Linked DNA regions of Rattus norvegicus. The protein of the gene in region 7 interacts with the protein of the main gene of each other region in a pairwise test. Links are inferred from orthologs where the notes say so. Each region holds a gene or a part of one and is shown on either strand. Other genes may lie near its edges. The genes, in order: Sorbs2, Ostf1, Trappc6a, Sh2d3c, Tssk1b, Abi2 and Efs.

Evidence for each region.
Region 1: the proteins of Efs (region 7) and Sorbs2 interact in binary tests that used the Homo sapiens proteins (3 or more experiments, as listed by UniProt). The two-hybrid records come from large-scale screens. The link is inferred for Rattus norvegicus from reciprocal best matches to the Homo sapiens genes EFS and SORBS2.
Region 2: the proteins of Efs (region 7) and Ostf1 interact in binary tests that used the Homo sapiens proteins (3 or more experiments, as listed by UniProt). The two-hybrid records come from large-scale screens. The link is inferred for Rattus norvegicus from reciprocal best matches to the Homo sapiens genes EFS and OSTF1.
Region 3: the proteins of Efs (region 7) and Trappc6a interact in binary tests that used the Homo sapiens proteins (3 or more experiments, as listed by UniProt). The two-hybrid records come from large-scale screens. The link is inferred for Rattus norvegicus from reciprocal best matches to the Homo sapiens genes EFS and TRAPPC6A.
Region 4: the proteins of Efs (region 7) and Sh2d3c interact in a two-hybrid assay, tested with the Homo sapiens proteins (2 studies listed by BioGRID and IntAct). The two-hybrid records come from large-scale screens. The link is inferred for Rattus norvegicus from reciprocal best matches to the Homo sapiens genes EFS and SH2D3C.
Region 5: the proteins of Efs (region 7) and Tssk1b interact in binary tests that used the Homo sapiens proteins (3 or more experiments, as listed by UniProt). The two-hybrid records come from large-scale screens. The link is inferred for Rattus norvegicus from reciprocal best matches to the Homo sapiens genes EFS and TSSK1B.
Region 6: the proteins of Efs (region 7) and Abi2 interact in binary tests that used the Homo sapiens proteins (3 or more experiments, as listed by UniProt). The link is inferred for Rattus norvegicus from reciprocal best matches to the Homo sapiens genes EFS and ABI2.

What each region holds. Positions count from the first base shown.
Region 1 is NC_086034.1:53,187,984-53,191,483, reverse strand, and holds part of Sorbs2 (sorbin and SH3 domain-containing protein 2), read left to right. Parts: intron 1-1,184; coding exon 1,185-1,385; intron 1,386-3,500. UniProt on the Homo sapiens protein: Adapter protein that plays a role in the assembling of signaling complexes, being a link between ABL kinases and actin cytoskeleton. Can form complex with ABL1 and CBL, thus promoting ubiquitination and degradation of ABL1.
Region 2 is NC_086019.1:225,473,052-225,476,977, reverse strand, and holds the start of Ostf1 (osteoclast-stimulating factor 1), read left to right. Parts: upstream 1-1,126; 5' UTR 1,127-1,292; coding exon 1,293-1,326; intron 1,327-3,926.
Region 3 is NC_086019.1:88,291,786-88,293,993, reverse strand, and holds the end of Trappc6a (trafficking protein particle complex subunit 6A), read right to left. Parts: intron 2,124-2,208; coding exon 2,006-2,123; intron 1,595-2,005; coding exon 1,511-1,594; coding exon of another isoform or gene 1,396-1,510; coding exon 1,302-1,395; coding exon of another isoform or gene 1,186-1,301; exon of another isoform or gene 770-1,185; coding exon 738-769; 3' UTR 501-737; downstream 1-500. UniProt on the Homo sapiens protein: May play a role in vesicular transport during the biogenesis of melanosomes.
Region 4 is NC_086021.1:36,442,009-36,444,691, reverse strand, and holds the end of Sh2d3c (SH2 domain-containing protein 3C), read right to left. Parts: intron 2,495-2,683; coding exon 2,288-2,494; intron 1,107-2,287; coding exon 931-1,106; 3' UTR 501-930; downstream 1-500. UniProt on the Homo sapiens protein: Acts as an adapter protein that mediates cell signaling pathways involved in cellular functions such as cell adhesion and migration, tissue organization, and the regulation of the immune response.
Region 5 is NC_086029.1:96,594,716-96,598,040, reverse strand, and holds Tssk1b (testis-specific serine/threonine-protein kinase 1), read left to right. Parts: upstream 1-1,401; 5' UTR 1,402-1,517; coding exon 1,518-2,615; 3' UTR 2,616-2,825; downstream 2,826-3,325. UniProt on the Homo sapiens protein: Testis-specific serine/threonine-protein kinase required during spermatid development. Phosphorylates 'Ser-288' of TSKS. Involved in the late stages of spermatogenesis, during the reconstruction of the cytoplasm.
Region 6 is NC_086027.1:69,394,205-69,397,205, reverse strand, and holds part of Abi2 (abl interactor 2), read right to left. Parts: intron 1,743-3,001; coding exon 1,567-1,742; 3' UTR 1,218-1,566; coding exon of another isoform or gene 1,075-1,217; 3' UTR 1-1,074. UniProt on the Homo sapiens protein: Regulator of actin cytoskeleton dynamics underlying cell motility and adhesion. Functions as a component of the WAVE complex, which activates actin nucleating machinery Arp2/3 to drive lamellipodia formation.
Region 7 is NC_086033.1:32,368,944-32,373,243, reverse strand, and holds the start of Efs (embryonal Fyn-associated substrate), read left to right. Parts: upstream 1-1,500; 5' UTR 1,501-1,859; coding exon 1,860-1,877; intron 1,878-4,300. UniProt on the Homo sapiens protein: Docking protein which plays a central coordinating role for tyrosine-kinase-based signaling related to cell adhesion. May serve as an activator of SRC and a downstream effector. Interacts with the SH3 domain of FYN and with CRK, SRC, and YES.

The DNA.
Region 1 (3,500 bases), on a different chromosome or scaffold from region 7:
TTCCATCCCTAGTTCTGCATCATTGGCAATTCTCTCTTCCCTTCCTTGTGCACCACTTACCCAGAATGCCACACAGCATTGCACAGTGTACCATCCATCTTCTGTCCCATGCTTTAAAGATTGGTCATTGTATGAGATAACCCCAGAAAGCCTAACTCCCAACTGCCTGTTCTGGGCGCATGAGAAAATCCGTGCTATTTGGGGAGACTCCCTATGCTTCAGTATGTTCTGCTCTGTGGTGATGAGGCACTTTAACAAACCATCCGGCACTTTGAGTTAAAGAGAACCTTCAAGGCACTGGCACTGGAAGGGGCTCCCTGCTGTGCTGAATCTGATCAGTAGATGTCACCACCGTGACTATCAGATCCTGTCCCCCACAGTTTATAGCTCCTTCTAGCTGCACCTGCTGGGTTTGCCCTTTAACATCAGCTTGCTGATTTGGTTCTGGCCCACATATGGCTTTTAGTAAGGAGTCAAATTATGTTATCTAACTTTGGCCTGCTCGCTGAAGGAAGCATAATAGTGATCATAGAGATGTCTACTATTGCAAAAGCTGAGGATTCTACTCAAATGCTTAGTGGGCAGAATGAAGGGGTGCTGGTGTTAAACCTGATCAGACCCAGAGGGACACGAGCCCTCTCCACAGCGAGGGATGTTCGAGAGTGGCATCTTTGCCTCATCCTTTTCATTCGCTCTGTCACATCTCAGGACATGCAGATTGCAGAAGGAAGACAGCATGCCATCCACCATTGTGCCTTCCAGAAGATGGCGTCTGTGACCCATTTCAGACACCATTTCTTCTTTGTGCGTGTCCTCACAATGATTCTAGTAGAGACTCGATGAGGTCCTGCCATTGATACGGCACCTTTCATACCATTTGCCTTTTGAAATAACTTCCACAAGTCATTTTACTCTGAACCAGCATGAAACATGCATAAGCCCATTCCCATGATCCTTAGGGCTCTAACGTCATGAATGGAAGGTTAGCCTAGATCTTTGCTGACAACCTATGCTTTTCTAATGAACACTGGGACCTTGCTCACATTCTTCTGACCAGGCAAAAGCTACAGGCATAAAACTTTTCCAAATAGAAAACTACCGTCTTACTAGAAGGCAGTGGCAGTTGCATTTTTTAACATCATTGTATCTCTACTTATAATGCATTTCCCCAATGCTCATTCCAGGGTGACAGGATTATTCTTCTCAAAAGAGTTGATCAAAACTGGTATGAAGGTAAAATCCCAGGAACCAACAGACAAGGCATCTTCCCTGTCTCCTACGTAGAAGTTGTCAAGAGGAACACGAAAGGTTCTGAGGATTACCCCGACCCTCCTCTACCCCACAGCTACTCCAGTGATAGAATTTACAGCCTAAGCTCCAATAAGGTAAGAAGCCATTCCATCATGTTACCTCTGTGCTTGGGGTCTCAATGTGATGCTCGTAAGCGATTTGGGGGATATCAGACCATCATATCTACTGAAAAGAAACAAATTCATGTATTCATATACTTGAGCTGCAGGTTAGAAAATATAAAGTTAATTTTCCTCAAGTAGATGCGGGTATGAAAAGTTAAATGTTCATTTCTGTTAATTCCATTTTCAAGTTAAAGAGAGAAAGCATTAGTATCATCAACCTTCCTTGATACATCTCTGTATTTCCATGTATATAAATTACACACATACAGATTTATGCATATATAGAATATATAATCATTATATAATTACTAAGTATATAACATTCTATGAAAATCTTAAGGTATTTTCTTCATAGACAGCCTAAGGCATTATATTTAATTTAGGACCTTTAATTCCATTATTAGTTTAAATATAATAATTAGAAGTACCCAATTTTTTTTTATTATTTTGGAAGCCACAAATTCCACTGTTTCTCCTAAGCTGGTAGCTTAACTTAGGTAGCTAAGCTGAAAATGATTATTTTTCTCAATACAATCTAGAAAGGACTTTCCCTCCTGAATTGGTCCATCAGATCAAGCCTATCCTCAAACTTCCTTTGTCCCCAAAATTTCTCCCTCACTTTTCTGTTGAATTGGCAGATATCTTATGGATGTATGTAGGGGTTTCTTTCTCCTTTTAAAATACGAAATTAAAGACTATACTTTCAGGGATCATTTCTATAGTTCGTAAAATACGAAATTATTATTTTAAAATACGAAAATGTAAAGCACCAGTGAAATTATTTCCAAAATATTGTCAAATGCCTCCCAACAATAAAAGTGATGTATTTGGTTGTATGTTATGTTAATTGTTGAGCTCGGGGCAAGGATGTGGAATATGAAGTCAAAGTTATTTTCAGACAGCGTCCCTAGAAGCCCAAACCACCTCCATCTAAGTAAATAACCTAGGAATCCATCTCAATTGAGATATTTTCCTTTAAAAAGACTAAGGTTTGGCATCTTACTAATTCTAGTCCTCTTCAAAAAAGCTAGATTTTAGTCATGGGCAGTTATCATGCATTCTCTCTCACCGGATAACTGAGCACTCTGCCCCAGTTTGATTATGAAGTTTCCAGAATTTAACATTTAAAAGTCGATATCCTTCCTTCAGTAGTTTCTGTTGAGAATGGAAAAGAATCTTCATCCATCCATATAAGTTTTACCTACCATCCATTTATCTTAAGAGAACTCATAGATGACCCTCACATGACCGAACCTTTAAATGAATGGATGCAGAAGAGAAAAGTTTGTATCTATAAATGCTTACATACTAAAGGGCTTCTCCCATGTGGTCTAATTAACAATGGCAAGCTAATATTTTAAATCAGGGTTTTTGTCATTTTCCTGAATATGTTTTAAATGGCATTCATGGTTTGTATTACAATACTGCATTTTACATAGAAGGATGTACAAATACCACATTTTAATAGAGGAATGTACAAGGTTCACCAGTAATCAATTATCTTGTTCTTACTGCTGAAAAAAAAATCTTTATGTCCATAATTTGAAAGAAATTCTAGTTTCATTTCAACTGGCAGCTATCCTGTGATGCCATTGGCTTAATGAAAGAAGAAATTCCTGTAGTGTTGTGCTAGTCAATTTCAGGGAAAAAAATATGTATTTTTAAACAATGAGAAATACAAAAGCAGAAAAAAAGATAGACATCCTATTTTCTTATTGATATTTACAAATAGAGAAAAGAATGCATTAATAATTCTTGAATCATTCTTTGGCAAATTCAAATCACATAGCTTGATGTATTTCTATTTTGAAAAAGACTCAAATAAAATTAGTATTATTTCTTATTTTCTACAACAGAATCTAATTCTAATTTTTTTAATATGAAATAACTTTAACTTTGTACTATAAGTAAGTTTTGTGATATAGGTACTCCTTAATCAAAATTAACATTTAATTTTAGTATTGTCAAGTGTCATTTAATTTTAGTATTATCAAGTCTCTTTTAAAGTTTTTGCTCTTTGGCCCTTTAACAAGAATAGAGGTGACATGGGGACAGTAACAGTGAAGTCAGCAGTAGATACTATGG
Region 2 (3,926 bases), on a different chromosome or scaffold from region 7:
ATGTGCAGGTCTTAGGTCTACTTGTGGGAGTTCTCTTTCCATCATGTGGGTGCTAGAGATTGAACTCTGGTCAACAGGTTTGGCAGCAAGGGCAGTTGGACCATGGTGCTGCTGACCCTGTAGTTTCTTACATAACCGATGTTTTCACTTTTATTTCCCCTAATACAATAGGCGTATAAGACTGCAACACTATGAGTTTACTTATGTGTGAGCATAAACTCTGAGGAGAGGAGCTGTTAGGTTAGGATTGGGCAACTTGTGTGAAGTAACAGTCAGTAGCATAGTTTTGGCTTTGTGGGCAACTATTCAACAATGAAGCTGTTAATGAGAAAGAGGCCACAGTCAATGCATATGCAAACGAGCATGGTGCGTCTATGGAAATCTAAGTTGCCCCTAACTGTCATGTGCCACACACCACAAAATACTATGCTTTTGTCTTAGCTGTTTAAAAACCGCCAAAAGCATTCTTAGAAGCCTTTACAAAGACAGGTAGCAAGTGGGTTGGAGTTTTTTTTTTTTTTTTTTTTTTTTTGGTTCTTTTTTTTCCGGAGCTGGGGACCGAACCCAGGGCCTTGCGCTTCCTAGGTAAGCGCTCTACCACTGAGCTAAATCCCCAGCCCCTGGGTTGGAGTTTGTTAACCAGATGCTGCAGAAAAGACTGTCCTGTCCCCGTGGGGGATCAAGACCCGATTCTCCTGCCAGCAAGTGTGAGGTCTCCTACACTTAGCGGTGGCTAATTGCTTTTTAGGAACGTGAATCCCAACGCGGTTTCCCTTGCGGCAGTCAGGTTCCAGGTACAGCGCAGGAGACTCTGGAAGGTTCCCAGGCCTCGGCGTGTGTACGCAGCGAGCAGTGAGTACTCACCAAAGCGGGTTCGAATCCTCCCCAGCAGGGCCGCAGAGCAGGCTGCAAGACGGTTTCAAGCACACAACTGCCGGTTGCTCACCTGAGCAGCACAGCCCACTGTGGGCTTTCATAACCTCCCCTAAGCAGGGCCTGGGGCGTGGCTACCGCAAGGCTCCTCCCCCAAGAGGAGGGCGTGGCTCCGGCGCTCCGCGGCAGGCTGGACCTCCGAGGCGCAGAGGACTCCCTGCCGTAGCCAATCAGCAGCCGGCGAGGCGCGGCCACTTCCTGGTGGGAAGGCTGGGCTGTCTGCGGAGCTCGCTAGTCCCGGTGTCCCGCTTCGGGTTGCGCGCGGGTCCGGAGCGGGCGCGGCTAGCGCAGGCTTGGCTCCCAGTTCCTGTCTGCGTGTGGGGCTCCCGCGGCTGAGCCTGGCCGCTCCGAGTAGCGCCATGTCCAAGCCACCTCCCAAACCGGTCAAACCAGGTAAGAGTTCTGCGCGCTGCGGGTACGGGTCTCCAGGCTGCGGGACCCCGTGCCGGAGTTCCCGAGGAGCGCCCTCGGACTCTGTATGCACTGCTCGCCAGGACGTTCTGGCGGTGTGGTGGCAGCACCTAGGTCGCGGCCACTTCCTCATATTTCGGCGTGTCGCTGTCAAGTTGGAGTTCTTGACCGGCTGGCGAACGGGAAGTGCGCTACGGCTGGGTGGGGTTTGCACCCTCCAGCTGCGGGGCTCGGACTGGAGCGGAACGGGGACCCGAGGTTTCCAGAGAGCTTTGGAGAGCTACACTGGCACTGCCAACCGGACAGCTGGGCTGCAACCCTCTCGGCTCCTAGCTTTAGGACGTAACGCTCTGTCTTGCATGCAAGTGTTTTGCTTAGGGTGACTCGGGCGAACTAAACTGGAGAGAGTACGAAGTTCCTCAAAACAGTTTTCTTGGCCACTCTTCCTGGTTCGCTTTTTTAAAACGTCGTTCTTAGAGTAGTTTCTGTGATGTGGAGAAACGAGAGCATTTTAAGGGACTGTTATATGTCAGCTTGACAAAATAAACTCGTGGGAACTTTCATTTGGATAGGGAACTAACAGGAATCGTAGAAAATAGGAGATGAATGATTGACGAATTCCCAGCCCTCTTTTTTCCAGTCTCCTGCAGCTTTGGTATTACAAAGGCTGAAACTTGAGCCATATACTATCAACCTTTATAGCCGCTTATGCTGCTTCAGTGATTTTTTTTCCTTGAGTTTTTTTTTTATTAAAGTGACAGTCACTTAAACTTCAATAATTATCCAGTTTTCTTCTTTTGTAGCAGCATCAACTCCTGAATCTGAAAATAATGCACACACATTTGCGAAATAGGCATTCTCTGTCGACATAAATTCTTCAGGGCCGCATATGAAGGAAGTGGCTCAGTCTGGCTTTGGCCTGAGCCGAGGCTGGGTGGTGCTGGTTGAGGCTGCCTTCTATGTGAAATCTGAGAAGTTTGCAATTTGCAATTTAGATGCGGATGTATGAGGTGGCAGTTTTGTAAACTCATATGTAAGTCAGGACCTCAAGTGTCCAACTAAGCTGAGTTCTTTGATGGCTAAACAAAGCACTTGATTTTGAAGAATGTGTTAGACAATCAGGCCGTGAGGTTTTTTCATTCCTCCAGACACATTAAAAGTGAAGTCAGTGTTGGGTCTGTGGGTGCTGGCAGGAGTCTGCCTTTGTGTACGTGATTGTGAGCTTGTGTGTTCATGCACCTTTGGGTGTGGTTTAGGACTCAGCCTGTTACGAAGTGGAGATTGGCTCTGGAAACTAGTTTTGTTGTTTACATATCTGCCCTTTCCTCTCCAGCAAACCAGAAAACACATGGCTAAACATTTGTACTATTTAGAGAGAACTCTGACTTCACTGGGATTTATAAGTGAGGCCCAAACATACATAAATAGGGTTGCCATGAAAATCACTTTATTTACCTAGTAACAGAAAGAGAGAAATATTAGTGTTAGTCGAACTTAAAGCAATGTGCTGGCTTACTGGAAAACAGAAACCTTTATTTTCATACTGTCCCACATGTAAACCTTTATTTTCATACTGCCCCACATGTACTGGGTGCTAGGCACTGGTCTAGTCATCCATACATGTTTGAACTCATTCCCTTCTCAGTAACCCTACCAGGTCAGCACCATTTTTATTCCCATTGTCTAGCGGGGGGGAAGTAAGGCACAGCAGGTTAACTCATCTCCTAACAGCAGTGGGGTGGTGATGTATGAATCGTCGAGGAGTACAACACACACGCTTGATTCCAGGATTTGTGCTTTGCCCCTGTGTGAAGAGCCCTGAATATTTTACAACTGGATAGGACTCTGAAAGAACCAGGTTTCTGACCCCAGCCGGACTCTTATGCACAGCCGTGCTGAATCCCCACTGCAGGTGTACTGTGCTTTCTTTCCTGCTACTCTAGGCAAGACATGGGGATGAAGGTCTCCAAAGAAGCCCGACATCCACGAGAACGTATTTAAGTTTTAATTTTTCATCTATTGCTTTGTTTATACTCTCTCCAAATGTCTCTTCTCCAAAATAATGCTAAACATTCAAATTATCAAACAGAGTTGGGGAAGAGAGGAAAGAAAAAGGCTTGGGGCAGAGAGGGAAGAATAATAAGTAAGCGAGAAGAGAAGTAAGCTGGTAGGCATGCACGCCATAGACTCCTGTAAAGTTACCAAAAAGAGCGGTCACGTGATTCTCAGCCTCATGCAGACAGATGAAAGACCAACCATAAGGCCTGTAGTGCTCAGGAAATTAACATGTGTTCTTTATTCTGGGAAATAGTTACTTTAATGGCACTGAGATCTGGGACAAGAGTTCCCAGAGATTCTCTTCCTGTGTTGGACAGGGTTTCCGTAGTAGCAGAGTAAGACAACATGGCTTCTAATTTAATGGGCAGCACTGGAAAGACAGGAGCCAGATGAAGGGACAGCGAGGGTCAGAGGACTTACTGTAAGAGCCTAGAGGCAGGTCTTACTTATCTTTTTTTTTCTGCTGCAATTTAAATGATTCAGGATTTCTTTTGGCGCACAGTTCATGAGTATAGCCTACTACA
Region 3 (2,208 bases), on a different chromosome or scaffold from region 7:
GGTTGTGAGCCACTGTGTGGGTGATGGGATGCGAACTTGGGTCCTCAGCAAGGGCAGCAAACACTCTTAACTTCTGACACACCTGTCCCACCCTGAGAGGTCTTGTCTTAGGGGTGGCGGATTGGAAGGAAGGCTCAGTAGTTAACAGCACTAACTGTTCTTGCAGAGGACTGGATTCAGTGCACATGCGCTTGAGCACAAGCGCACACAATTAAATTAACAGAAGAGCCAGCAGCCCTTGTTACTTCTCAGCCACCTCCATTTGTAGTCCCTGGGCCTGGTGCTTACCCATGCAGCAGTGGGCAGCAGAATGCAGGCTTAAGCCCAAGGGCAGCCCCGGATGCTACAAATACAATCAGAACGAGGTGGCGGGTGTGACCTGCTGGGCCGGGGGCAGCCCCAGACTTGTTGGCTGGCAAAGCCAGAGAGCTAGGCCAGGTGTGCCTAGAGCTCACAGGGTGGGTGTGGGTGGGGAGGGACGTGTGATAAGCACTACACAGGTCTGTTTCCTCATAAAGAACCTTTCTTTATTGAACATGTCTGGGAGATGCCCTAACGTCCCTCCATACCCACTCTGAACTCATGGGTCCCACCTCCCGGGACCCTCCTAGTCCTTTCCTTGGCGGAAGCACATGTGACCTCCCCAGAGCCTGTGAGTGCCTCCAAAGGTGAGCAGTGAGGCAGGGCCAGATGCCACATTCTGAGGCTGAGGTTAGAGCAGGGCAAACCTGGGGTCCTCAGGACTTCTGGATCACCACCTGGAACTTACCTGGAACAGAAGGGCCAAGACAGGAAGCCCGTGAGGGGGCTAGCAGCTCACCCGACTCTGCACCAACAGCCTGGGGGGCCCTGGCAGTGAGCGGGTCACAGGGGTACCGTCCCACCCAACTGGCCCGAATTCCAGACCATAGGGGAGCCCAGAGGCAGGAGGGCTAGCCTGAGCTCCTGACATGTCCTGCTCATTGAACCCAGGTCCTCATAGAGGGGTGACAGCTGTCAGGGCGAGGGGTGTCAAGATAATGGCAGATGGGTGGTGAGTCCACTGTTCCGAGCATCAGGAACCTGGCCAGGGTAGGACATGTCCCACTGGGTCCTGTGCCAGTTTCTTCTCTTAGAAGCACCCAGGGACGCAGCTGGGTATGTGGTTCCGTTCCTGTTACCTGTTTCTGGGCCTCAAATTTCATGTCACAGTTTGTTAATCTGGTTCCCCTTCCCAGCACTGATGAGGGACCAAAGATGGGGATGCCCCAAAGCCTGCACCACGTTTAAGGGAAGCAAACACCCGACCCCCAGTGACTTACAGGCGGGCAGGGACGCCACGGAGGCAGTGACCAGGCTCTGGAAGCCCAGAGTATGGAGGGCGCCGCACAGGAGGCCGCAGGTGAAGGCCAGGAACTGGGGTGGGGGTGGGGGACAGAACACTGTGTGTGGGAAGAGGAGAGGCCAGGCCCCAGCCCCAGGAGAGGCCTAGCGGGGTGGGCAGATGGTCATATCCTGTTTCTCCCAATACCTTGGGGGCTTCCTCTAGGTACTGTGGCCCCGAGCCCATGGGGATGAGGAGGGGGAAGCTGTTGTCCTGCAGCACATAGGTCCCCTGTCAACAGAAAAGAATGTGGGGACTGGGTATTAGCAGCAGGGAACCCACAAACCCAGCAGCCAATCCTTCCGAGACAGGTGGGACACCCTGTGGCCATGTGGCATTAGGAAGGAGTCCTGCCTGGCAGGGGGGCTGGGAGAAGCTGACTCTCTGGCCCTTGATGTGGTGGCAGGGAATGAGCACAGCGTGGGTATTCAAAGGGGACTACTGGGACTTGCCTGGGACAAGAACCGTCATGCTGAGGCCACTGCAGGGATCACTCCTGAGGGGCAGGTTGAAGTTGAAGAAATAGCCCTGCCACTCACTGCAGTCCTGGCTTCCCTTAGGGCTCCAAGGAGCAGGGGTAGACAGTGATACCAGTCTAGGTATCACCCAGAAGCCAGGCTGGAGCTGGGCTCGCACACCCACCTGGTGGTTGGTGCGGAGTCCGTCCATATGCTTTTGGAACATGGCCGCCCACAGATCTTTGCACAGGAACTTGAGGGCATCTAGCTCCTCCCTAACGGCCAGCGTCTCCCGGGGCAGCCTGGATGAGGATGTGGAATGAAGTCTGGCCCATATGGTACATGTGTGGGCCCATGAAACCTTCCCCACCCTCCGTCTTATCAGCA
Region 4 (2,683 bases), on a different chromosome or scaffold from region 7:
TTGTGTGGCTCTTTTGCCCGCACAACACATGTGCGCCCAGTACCCAAGGAGGTCAGAAGAAGCCATACGATCCCTTGGCACTGGAGATACAGATTATGAACCACCATATGAGTGCTTGGATTGACCCTGAGTCCTCTGCACGAGCAGCCAGTACTCTTAGCCACTGAGCCATCTCTCTAGGACTCTAGACTTTTAAAAGCCTTTTTATCCCAAACTCTGGATTTCTTGCCTGTGGATGGGGTGGGGGTGGGGAACTATGATTTTTCTGGACGGACCCTGGGCTCAGAGAAGACTAAGGTGTGGGCCCTACTTGCGCTGTCTTGGACTGACAGTCTCCCCTGAGCTCATGGCAGTAAGGGAGGGGCACCTGTCTGCTCTAAAACTGGTTCCCCGTATCATCTGGAAAGTCTTTGGTACTAACCAGGTATTTGCTGATGTCTTGGACCACTCACCTGAGGAAAGTGCTTCTTTCTACTATCCAGGCCTCACGGGACAGAGGAAAGAGTCATTAAAGTTTATTATATGAAAGAGATCATGGCTTCTGTACATACATGTACACCAGGCTTATTTACAGTAAGATAGAGGCCGTGGCACCTCTAGGCATAGATGCCGGGAGGAAGGAAGAGGGGTGGGGAGCCTCCCATGGCTCAAAAACAGGGAACCTCGGCAAAATGGGAGCCAGCGAAAGCCGAAAGCCGGCGGGAGGAGAAGAGGTTCCTGTCCCTTTGGAAGGGAGACTTGGTGCACGTGTGGTGGAAGAGTGGAGCTCAGAGTCCATTCAAGACCCTGGAAGTGCAAGAGAGATCCTGGATTTGAACCCAGAACATTCTTGGGCTGGTCACAGTGTCCCTGTGGTGCTCTGGAGGAAATGTCCTGAGCCCCTCTGCCCCCGATGCTGTCAGCAGCTGCAGAGAGGCAAGATCTCCGGGGTCACAGTTCACTAGAGCGGATGGCAGGTTCCAGCTTGTGGGACAAGGCAGTGAGGACTTTGTCAAACTTCTCATAGCGCCAGGCCTGGCTGCTGTTGGCACCCTGGCTGCCCCAGAGGAGACGCATCTGGAACTCTGTGCTGAACACTTCCAGGAGCTCCGGTCGGGCCTGGAACCCTGCAGGGTGGGAAGACAGACGAGCTTAGGAATCTCTCCACATCCTACAGGGCCCGCTCACAGAGATCTTTCCCTAACCCCACAGGGACCCAACACAATGTTCTGAGGAACAAGACCTTGCAGGCAGCACTAGTCTTTCTTCATCTATCTGCAACCTAGGATTTTTTTAAGGAACAAGACAGTAATCTGTGCTTGTGCTTGTGGTGCCGACATGAGACACCCAGCTTTGTGTGTCTAGGCAGGGGCTCATTGCTCTCCTACCCCCTCAGCCCTTAAAACGTAAAATACTCCTGTAAATCTCAGGCGAGATCACAGAAGGTCTTTCTTATATTTCTCCGTAAATTTCCCTTTTTCTTAAAGAAAGACTATTCTAAAGTGCATATAATTCTCTTCTTTCTGAGGAAAAAAAAAGATGAAAAAGATAATACCAAGCTATTCAAACCATATATCTCTGGGCAAGTGAATAATTTTCTGAATTTTTTTCCATTATTATATTTTTTTCTTTTGAGACAGTCTCCCTATATAGCCCTGGCTGACTTGAAACTTCCTATGTAGACCAGGCTGGCCTCGAAGTCAGAGAACCGGCTGCATTCTGGCTGGCCTTGAATCCAGTACACAGCTGGGGATGATACTGAACTCTTGCTAACTCTGTCAGAGTGCTGGGACTGCAGAGGCTCACACTCCCAGTTTATGCGGTGTATGCAGTCCTGGGGATTAAGTCCAGGGCTTTGCCTGCTGGCCAAGCACCCTACCAACGAAGCCACATCCCCAGCCCTCCAGATTTTTCCTGGTTTGAATAATGCCTGACACAGTGGCCATCATGTGAAGTCGCTTTCTCTGCTCATTTCCCAGAATTCTGTTCCCCAACCCAGGCTCCCTGAAGACCAGGCCGACCTTTCTGCATGCTGGGCACTATGGAAAGACAGCTGCTCACTTCCGGGAGAACAGTGAGGTGCAGGTGGCTGAAGCACAAAGGTGGTCAGTGTCTCTCAGCCCACCTCACCTGATGCCATCGCTAACAACTGCCTACCAGTGACAAGACCGATGGGATAAAGGAGCCAGGAGTTGAGACAGAGGGGTGCAAGACGTCAGTGGATGCTTCAGAAGACGCTTAGGTAGAGGCAGATGGAGGGAAACTGGGTTTGGGACGGCAGGGTCCTCTGGACATGACAGCTACTCACCCTGCAGCTTGACTTCAGCGTTGGTGTGGTAGAGGCCCCCGTGGTGTGCCACAGTGCGGGCAGCCTCCAGGTGGGCTAGCACAACCTCCACACCATGTTCTGTGCTGCCCCAAGGTTCAGGGCCCTCGGCGGGGGCGGAGTCACACTCCAGCAGGGTAATGAAGGGCAGCACGTGTGGAAAGGTGGTGTTGCTCAATGGCGGGCCTTCTGTAGAGAGAGAGGCAGCAGGCTCTTAGACCTGAGGACCCTGCTACCCCACTACAACCACAGAGATGCCTGAGGCCCCAGGAAGACCACCAAGGTCACCTGGGGCCATCCCTTCTTCCCCTGGTGACCCGACCCTGCTTGTGACATACATGGCTACCCCTCATGGGACAAAAAGTCAAGCTATTATTC
Region 5 (3,325 bases), on a different chromosome or scaffold from region 7:
TGGTAGGGTCACCGGGACTGACAGTGTTGGCGCCAGGGCTGGGGTGGGTAGGAGTGGAGATCGGGGATTAGAGAATCAAAGAAGTATAGCTGGACTTGAATGATCTTTATTCCTGGAAGCCCAGGTCTGTCCCAGTGCCAACACATTCCCTAAAGTGGTCTTCTAAACGCGGAACCGCTGTGAAGACAGTGAAGAGCTCTAGTGAAAATAAAGGACCAGCAGGCTCTGTGGATGGGAAAGAATACAACACAAAGAATACAACAGAGGAGGAAATGGTTTAAGGGATGTCAGAATAACAAGAGAAGCCCATAGTCTCTGGACCCGATCTAGGGAAGGAGCTGCCTATACAATGAAGATAAAAGCCCAGGCAGAGACCAGACTAAAGCCTGGGAACAAGGCTCCTCGTGTTAAACTCACACCTGCCTTCATGAACAGCATGTACCTGGAAGGACAGACAGCAAATGAAGGACCAATCTGTTCAGGGGAAGGAAGTGAAAAGGGGGTAAGGTCAGTCAGCTCCAGCATACCTAACTCACTATTGCCCCTCCACCAAAGGCCCAGGATTCCAACCAATGATAGAACCGTGGAACTGTGCGAGTGAAAGATGCTAACTCTTATAGGTGGATAAAGCCAAGGTCGAACCATCAGATATTCCAACTTTCCCAGGTCTTGGCCCAAGGCGTTGGATATAGGTCTTGTCACAACAGAAAGGGAGCTCCTTGCTGACAGCAGCAGAGGTACCTGTCCAGTACTACCTTGGCACTTGGAGAGTTTTATGACACGTTCCCGGCACTCAGTACAAGATCCAGGCTTAGCCTTCTGCCCCCATACCCACCACCACTGCAATCTGCCCTGGGAGCTCACTCAGAGCTAGGAGTTGGGCAGGTCCTTTGGAGGGAACTCAGCCAAATGCAGACTTCCTGCCAACTGTCCACCTGCAGAGCCACCGTTAAGAGTCCAGGAAAGGTTAGGAAGAGAAAAGAGCAGGACAGGAAGTAAGAAGTCTGGCCGAACGGTACGGTGAAAGCACAGTGTTAACTCCCTAACCCACCAACCACCACCACCACCACCACCACCACCCCTGGGCCAGGAGATAAAGAACTCGAAGGATCTTCACAGCTGTAGGTCAGGTCTGTCTCAGGGCCCCAAAAATTTAAAAGTGGTCTTTTAAAAGATGAACCCCCTTACCTCAGGCCAGAGCCAAGCATAAACCATTTTGTTCACTTTTAGTCTGCTCCAGTAGAGTGGCAGACCTTCCAGGTTCGAAGTCAAAGCACCCCAGGCAATAGCTGCATTTCCCCCTGGGCATTACTCCTTTGTGACTTCACCCACTGAAGTCACCCGGGAGACGGCGCTGAAAGTTCCATGTTAGAGTCTTGGGCCTCTTAGGAGGCAGGGACAGCAGGCCTGGCCAGCTCAGAGGACTCTCTGTCCACAGTATAAATGAAAACACTGCTGGCCCATGTCTGGCAGGGATGTAGAGGGCAGCCTCAGAGGCACTGGGCACTCCCGGCACCATGGATGACGCAGCCGTCCTCAAGCGACGAGGCTACATCATGGGGATAAACTTAGGAGAGGGCTCGTATGCCAAAGTCAAATCCGCTTACTCTGAGCGCCTAAAGTTCAACGTGGCGGTCAAGATCATCGACCGCAAGAAAGCCCCCACGGACTTCCTGGAGAAATTCCTTCCCCGGGAGATTGAGATTCTGGCCATGCTAAACCACCGCTCTATTGTCAAGACCTATGAGATCTTTGAGACGTCAGATGGCAAGGTCTACATTGTCATGGAGCTTGGGGTCCAGGGTGACCTCCTTGAATTCATCAAAACCAGAGGAGCCCTGCAAGAGGATGATGCTCGAAAGAAGTTCCACCAGCTCTCCTCGGCCATCAAGTACTGCCACGACCTGGATGTCGTCCACCGAGACCTCAAGTGTGAGAACCTTCTGCTTGACAAGGACTTCAACATCAAACTGTCTGACTTTGGCTTCTCCAAGCGCTGCTTGCGGGATGATAGTGGTCGGCTGACATTAAGCAAGACCTTCTGTGGGTCAGCAGCTTATGCGGCCCCCGAGGTGCTGCAGGGCATCCCCTACCAGCCCAAGGTGTATGACATCTGGAGCCTGGGTGTGATCCTCTACATCATGGTCTGTGGCTCCATGCCCTACGATGACTCCAACATCAAAAAGATGCTGCGCATCCAGAAGGAGCACCGCGTCAACTTCCCACGCTCCAAACACCTGACTGGTGAGTGCAAGGACCTCATCTACCGAATGTTGCAGCCAGATGTCAACCGGAGGCTGCACATTGATGAGATCCTCAGCCACTGCTGGGTGCAGCCCAAGACTCGAGGTCTGTCCTCTGGAGCCATCAACAAGGAAGGGGAAAGCTCCCGGGCCGCTGAGCCCTCATGGACCCCTGAACCTGGTGCTGATAAGAAGTCTGCCACCAAGTTGGAGCCTAAGGAAGAGGCACGAGCTGAGGCCCAATCTGAGACAAAACCCCAGGAAGATAATGTGCAGGTGGCCAGGCAGTCAGAGAACGTGGGCCTCAGCAGCGAACTGAACAGGGCCACAGAGGAAGGGCATCCCCAACAGCCTTCAGAGACACATACTTAGTGAGCCTCTTGCAGCCCAGGGGGCCAGCAGGGAAGGAGGCAGAGCTCATGGCTTGAAGCCTGAGCCTAGAAGTCAAGGGACGAGAGAGAGAAGGAAGACACTCCCGGATGAGCTATTTTCGTCACTTTCTTCTCCCCCTCCTTTGAACTTGGTAACTCACATGGCTAAAGAAGCAATAAACCACTATATGGGTGCACACCCTCAGGTGAATGTCTTTACCCAGATCACTGTAGTCCTGGGCTCCCCTTGTCTTCCTGTGAGACTGCAAATCGTCACTCATAGGGAAGTCCATTCCTGCGCCCCAAGCCCAGACTGTGTCCTTAGGCCGAGGTGAGGCAGTTGTACCAGTGAAAGGCTGGTTGGGGGAGGGGGGGCATTTGGAGGAGCAGAGCCCACGGAAGATAAGAAGAAGATAACTTCCAGAGGGAGGCTGAGGAGTGCAAAGAAGGGTGGAGAGAAGACAATGGGAGGCTAGCCCAAGGATGAACATGACTGCCTGTAGAAGAAGGAGGGCTGGAAGCCAAAGCCCTGTCTTGCACCAGGAGAGCTGGCTTCCTGCATCAGGGGCTCAGGGTCAGGCAGGTGTTTTAACACTATCCCAGGGCTGCAGGCTGCATGACCATGCCTGAGGGCTGGGGAGAGTACAGAAGGCATACTGACCAGCCCTATAGTCCCTCTTGGGACTTGCTTAGCAGTCCAGCCTAGGACAC
Region 6 (3,001 bases), on a different chromosome or scaffold from region 7:
TCCAAAGCATTTAGAAAAAAGTCTAAAAGTGTAATAGCTGATGTGCATGCAACGTGGTATTAAAACCAAAAAATCCTGCTCCTGGTGTAGGGTTCCTCCTTGTAGTCCTAATATTTGAGAGGCTAAGCAGAAGAGCACCGTGTCTGAAACAAACAAAACCTACAACCTTAAAGCAAAAAGGGTCTTGAGAAGGACACTGTTTGGGTCTGAGTTGCACAGTGAAGCCTCAGGCTCAGATAACAGATCTACGAGTGGAGTATTAGCTGCTGCCTTACAGCCTGCCTTTCTTCGCATCTACAACACTTGTTCTTCTAGCATCGCTAGACAGAATGTGCAAGGCCTGCATCTGAATCACAACAGCTTTGCTTCCTCTTCCTTTTCAGTAGATGAGGGGATGCCAATTGTTTCAAATACAGACTGGTTTTCATCAGTGTGACTGGGTAAGTATTTTATCCTATTAGTCTTTTCCAGTAAACTCTTTACTCTGACTCACAAGGTTCAGACTATTACGAGGAGTGCTACTTTAAAGTCTAATCACTTCAAATCAGGAGGATACTTATTTTTCTATAGCTGAGAGAAGAAAAATGGCTTGGCATCAGCTAACACTGCCATTGATAATGGTCCAAGAGCACAGTAGCAGCCTTTCATTCCCAGTCCAGTGACTGTCAGAGACTTGACAACTAGTCTCTTCTTAAAAGAGGTGGGGGGGGGGGGGTGTTTAAATATCAAAAGAACAGTAATAGCTGGTCTGATTTCCTAGGCTCTACTCTGAAACAGTGCCTCAAGGCTGGAGCTCCTTAGGAACCTTTGTGTCCAGCAAGCTCACCTCAGTACTTGAAGTACCTACCACATTTCACATCGGTTTTACTGGCTGCTATCAGCAATGCAGTCTCATGCAACAGTGCATTAAAATCAAACTGGTAACAACCCTGGGAATGTTTGGAGACTCACATTTTGTCATCCTTATAATCTACAAACAGGACAGGATGCAAGGGAGTTCGGGATTAACTCACCTAGCACTCCAGTGCTAAGAGAACACAGGATTTACAGTGTTAAAGAAGAAAAACAGCCTTTTTAAGCAATCCAAAAGTAGTTAAATAAAGTATTTAAACACTGGTTCCTTCCTCTCCATATACTGAAAGTAAAGGGCAAGGGTGTCCACCAGGCCATGAGGTTAGCCCCAAAGCAGAGGCAATGAGCATCCAATGTCACAGATTCTGCAGGAAGAGAAATCCAAGGGTGTACAGTATTCCTGAGAAGATCCCAGATTTTTTTCTCAAGTTAGTCTTGGTCCTATATATTTTAGCTATATGTTCATGTTGGTATGCCTTTCGTGACTGAGAAATGGCATTTTCAATCTAGATAGCATAATGCAAATGACCCAAGAAGTTCCACTTGTTCAGACTTGGCTTTCAGGTTTTGATACTAGGGGATAAACCAAAACAGTAATAAAAAGAGTAACTTTATCATTTGTATGCTTCATCTATTTCCTGGGAGGGAATTCCCAGGGCCTCTAGCTAATCTGGGAATACCTGACCTGAACAAGAAGCACGGCTGTGCTGGGCTTTACTCCGAATAATGCATGATGGACTCAACGTAATTCCCAGGGAAGAGCCCAGTCACTCCATTCATAACTCCCTCATACCAACCATCATCGTTCTTCTTGATGACATAGATAATGGCTCCTTCCTGAAAGGACAGCTCATCCTCCTTGTCTTTCGTATAATCATAGATTGCCACGACTAGGGGAGAAACAAAATAGGAAGTGAGCAACAATGCCATTTCTAGAAAGGTAAAGCCACTACGCGTTCATACACAGCAACTTCCTAGAGATGAACATTTGTACATGTTTTCTATCCAATAACTAGTTTAACACAATTGAATGTCCTTTCCTTTAAAAAAAGGTTCTAAATCCAATATAAATGGCAATCAAGTAAAAAAAAGAAAGTCATCTTTAGTTAACTCCAGAGAAAAAGCATTCTAAGGAACATGAAAGACAGTAATTCGTTTCAACTTACACTGAGGCACCATACTGTGTAAACAAATGCTCGTACTTAAACACTATTGTTATGAGATACGCTGTGATACAACTGAGAAGTCAGACAGACTAAAAAACAGCATTGCTCCTTTTTTGGACTCTGCCTATCAGTGAAGACTGAATTCCTACAAGCTAATCCACTATACATATACTTTCAAAACATATACTGCATTATGTTACCAACTCAATACATCCATAATAAAGTTAAAAGAACCAAGACACCTGGTTAAATTCTTTTGTAATTTTTATTGGTTTAAATAGGCCTCTGAACCTTTGATAATCTCTGGTTCCTAACATCACATCTACCCTCAAGAATTTTAATAAAATCAGGTAACTCATAACTTAACTCACATTCACCTAAGACTTAAGACTTTGTTCCAAACTCCAGCATTTTAATTGAGAACTATTCCAGCTCTTTTTCTAAGCATACACTGTAATTGTCTTAAAACTAAAGGGCTGAAATATAACCCAGCAGCAGAGCCATGAGCCCTATGTTTCTGAACCACTTTAGTAAAAAAAAAAAAAAAAAAAAAAAAAAAAAAAAAGTGGCATCTCTCATACGTAATTATCTTCTATTATTGGGATACAATAAGGATATCAGAAACCTAATTTAGAAGAGTCAGGGTGTGTTTCTCTACCTAAATACAATTCAGTGTAATTATATGACAAATTTAAGAATTAGTGTTTCCCGTCAATCTGTATTTTCTTCAAGAAAAAGCAAAAGTAATGCAGAATAACTATCTTTATATTGGTAACAACACAGTAATTTAGTGGACAACTTTAGTAAACTCAGGATGATCTATTCTCTTTAAAATATAGATATTGGGAGTTGCAGATTTAGCTTAATGGTTCAGTCCACAGTGGAAGGAAGGAAGGAAGGAAGGAAGGAAGGAAGGAAGGAAGGAAGGAAGGAAGGAAGGAAGGGGAGGGGAGGGGAGGGGAGGGGAGGGGGGCAGGCAGGCA
Region 7 (4,300 bases):
GATCTCCCTCTAAGAAGCTCTGATGTACACCTTCTCGAAGTAAAGGCCAGAGAAGAGAGCGACTGTAGAAAGGCTGGCAGGAAGAGTATAGAAAGCAAGGAGCTGGGGTTCAGCTAAAACTCCCGATTCCGGTCCCTCTGAAAGAGTTCTGTCCTCTCTGCCCACGGTCTCTCCTCCAACTGCTCCAGGAGCAGCGAGGGCCAAGCCTTAAAAGAGAGACAGGCCCGGACTGGCAAAGGAGGCGAAAAGGCGGTGCAATCGGCCAGCCTGGGATCTGGAGTTAGACGCTAAGGCTTCTCGCTCTCTCCCAAGGGCCAGAATCTTTGTTCAACACCAGACTCCAAGCCAGTGACCCTCTGGATCTCCCCGGCTCACTCCCGCTGCCCCCTGCAAAGTCAGCGTGGTGAAACCTCCAGGACCCTGGCGCGGCGGAAGCAGCGCGTCCCCTCCCTCGGGAAAGACAGATGTGGGGCTAATGAAAGGGAGGCAGGGAGAGGCGTGGGGCTGGCGGGGGAGAGCGGGGGCGTGGCGGCCAGAGCGGAGCTCTCCAGAGCGCGCAGACCAGACCACCCCGCGGTCTGCCGCGCGGTCCCGAGGAGGAAGGTTCGGGGGAGAGGGGCCGGGCTGGGGCGCGCAGTTTGGCCCTAGGGTGGGGAGCTGAAACTCAACACCGCCTCGGGAAGGATCGTCCCCTTTCTCTGCAGCTTCCCCTTCCCCCTTCCTCCTCCCCCTTCTCTTAATCCCCTGGACTGAGCCCCTCGCGAGAGGAGTGGGCCCGAGGGGAGGGGAAAGAGCTTGCTGCGGGGAGCCGGAGCTCGGGCAGGGGAGGGAAAGGGGCGCCGAGTACAAGGGGTGAGCGGGGGCCACGAGCGACCCCGGACCTTTTCTAACCTTCAGTGTCCCCACCTCGACCCTAGGCAAGCCCATAGAACTGCCCTTCCCCTTCTCTGTTCCCTTTGCTCTGTGGCCTTTTTCTTCGTTCCCCAATACACCTGGAGCTTCCCCAAGCTTTGGGACTCGCCGAGCGCCGGGTCCAGGGTGTGTGAACGGGGACTTCGGTCAGTGGGGTGCCCGGGGCAGAGGGTGGTGCGCGCCCTTGAGCGCTGAGACCCAGAGGTGCCTCGCGGCCACCTCCAAGACCTGGCTGTGCTGAGCAGTGTGGCGGGGAGAGCCCGCCTCGGCGGGGGCCTGGGCAGACGGCCCAGCTCCACCGCCACGCGCTCTTAGGCCTTTGGCTCCGGCCTTTGCGCTGACTTGAGCGAGTTTGGCGACACTCGGTTCAGTTGTCGCTCCTCCTCCTTCCCCGCGGGTCCCGCCGCAGTGCCCCGGCTGCCAGGACCACAGCCCTGGGAGCACAGCTCTGCGCCGCTGGGGGAGGGTTGGCCCCTAGAGTCGCTCGTCCAGCTTAACCACTCAGGCGGCTTCTCCCAGCCCTCGGGGTTAGCCTGAGCTGCCTGGAGAGGCGTCGAAAGCAGCCACAGCTCCTGTCTCTTAGGCTGGGAAGTGAGCTTTACCCCATGTGTGTTCAGGAGGCCTTTGCGACTTGAGGCAGCAGCTGTGGGGGCCTGCAGCCCCGAAAGACCCTGGGGACAGTTTAGAGCGCGCCCCTTGGATGAGGTCCCGCAGCGACGCCCAGGCCCGCCCTACTCCTCCTCCTGCTTGGCCAAGCTGCCTCCTATTTGGAAAGTTTTGTGGGTTTTCTTTCTCTTCCTCCAACTTTGGGGGAGGCATCTCCTCAAGCGCTACAGCTTGGGGTGACCTTCTGGCTTGGAGGCCGGGAACCATGGTGTGGGGCACCCATCGCTGAGGTCAGAGAAACTGAGCCTAGCCTGAAGCAGGCGACCCTGGAGGCCAGAGCCATGGCCATTGCCACGTCGGTGAGTTCACCAGGGAAAGGAGGCTTGCCAGGCTGAGACCTCCAACCTGCTTTACTGTCGCGTTTATTTCTACCCACTCTGATCTCCTCTCCCACAAGCTGTGCCCTCTCTCTTTTGTTCCTTTCTCCGTCTCAGTCCTCGCCCCGTGTGCCTTCTGGTTCTGGGTTGGCCCCTCCTCCTCTCTCTCTAGTTTCTTTCTTTATAGTGGCTGTGGATAAATGGGGGTGGGGGGAGGGCGAGGGCGGAGTGTAACCCCATCCTATCTGCTCTTGCTGGGTGGAAACAGATGCCCACTGGGGGTTGGCAGGGGCTTGTAATTGGGAGGTACGTAAAAGGAGTTTTCTGACAAAGACCAGGAAGCCCAAGGAAAATGGAAGGCCAAGGAAGCCCAACTCTAAAGGATTGGGGGAAATGGAGACACAGGCACGTGAACAGGCAGGGGAAAATAATACAGAGGAGGAGAGATGATATCAGCCTGCCTCGGGTCACTTTCCGGTGACTGGGGACAAAAGACAGGGACAGTTGGCTTGTTGGAATTGTGGGAGGAGGCCTACCAGAAAGTGCAGTGGCACCCTGCCACCCCGAATAAGTCAGCCATTGCCTCACAAGTCAGCTGGGCCCCTAGGAGGAGGTAAAGCAGGAGTGATCACACCCAGTATCCATCATCCTATCAGCAGCTCTGGCCTGGGTTTAGGCAAAGCGCAAAGCATGGCCCCATTGGATAAAATTCAAACCTAATACTGGGAGGGGCTGTACAGCCGCACCTCTACTTTGTCTTGGAGTCTGTACAGCAAATCCATTCCTTCTCAGCTTCCCCAGCCCTTGCTGGGGATTCCCAGGGGAAAGCCAGGTTGCCCCCTGCTTTCCTGGACTCTGGCTATGGGAAGAAAAGTTACAAAAGTCAAAGAAAAGCCCAGAGCCACAGCACACCTTGAGGGTGGATCTGTTTTCCATTCCTTAGACAGAACCTTTTAGTCCTCTGCTGGCAGAACCTTTGGGAGTGCCAAAGCTGCTGCCAGGATCCTGGTGTTACTGCCACTTTTGAAGTCCAGAAGGTATTTGGGTGAGGGGTATTTATGCTAATGAAACTCACAGGATCATAACAATAGTAATAGTTACAGTTTACACACCTGGCCGCTGCACTAAACTTTGTCACAATCTTTTGATGCACTGTCTCACGCAGCTTAAAAGGACGTGTTATTCAACAATTGTAGATAAGGAAACTCTACAGTGGAGAAAACTAGAGTACAGAGATGTTTAAAATCTCCTTAAAGCCATCCAAGCAAGAAAGGGACTCAGCCCCAAGTCCGCCTGCACTTACAACTTTGTCTTTGATCACTGGCTAGATCCAGGATACTAATTTCTAGTTTTCAATCAGAAGGAAAGATGCAGGGGTTGGGGACATGGCTCGGTTGGTAAAGCACTTGCTGCATAAATTAAGGATCTGAGTTTGACCCCCAGCACCCACATAAAGAGCCACGTGCAGTGTACTCACCCAGCAATGGGGGTGAGGGGAGAAACGAGGATTCCAGAGGCTCGTCCAGCTCTGCTAGCTAAGTCAGTGAGCTCAAAGTTGAGAGTCTCTCAAAGGGAAAACAATGGAGCATGAGTAAGGAGGATCTCACCAACAACCACTGGCCTCCCCGTGCACGTGCACACATGTGGAGTACAGAGCCAGCCAGTGATCTGTATTGTCTGTTTAGCATGCTTTCTTCTTGTAGACGTGCTGCTTTTAGACGTCTCGTGATAATCAGAAATGGTGTGACGAAGGCCAGGCATGTAGGGCGACGTTTGCCTGGCTGCAAAGGGACCTGAGTTTGACCCCAGCATCTTTTTTTTCTTTTTAAAGATTTATTCATTTATTATATATAAGTACACTGTAGCTGTCTTCAGACACACCAGAAGAGGGCATCGGATCCCACTACAGATGGTTGTGAGCCACCATGTGGTTGCTGGGAATTGAACTCAGGACCTCTGGAAGAGCAGTTGGTGCTCTTAACCGCTGAGCCATCTCTCCAGCCCCTGACCCCAGCATCTTGAAGAAGGAAGGGAGGAAGGGTAGTTGGTTGCTTAGGAGGAGAAGAAAGGAGCACAAGGGTTGCACAACTTGCTTCCTAGCACAAAACGGTCCCAGAGGAACAGCATCTCTGTGAGTGGAGCTTCTTCCTCCCTTACAGTCCAGCAGCATCCTCCTACAGCTGGACATTCGGTTGGTTATTTGATGACGATGATGCTTTTTATAGTACTAGAGGTTGAACCCGATGTCTCAAAACATCCTAGGCAAGCGTTCTACCACTGAGCTACACTGTCACGTACTCAGATTCCCGGCCTTTCTCTGTCTTTTGTTTTGTTTTGTTTTGTTTTTTGAAGCAAAGTTTTATATAGCCCAACCCTGATCCTTCTGCCTTCAGAAGTGCAGGGAT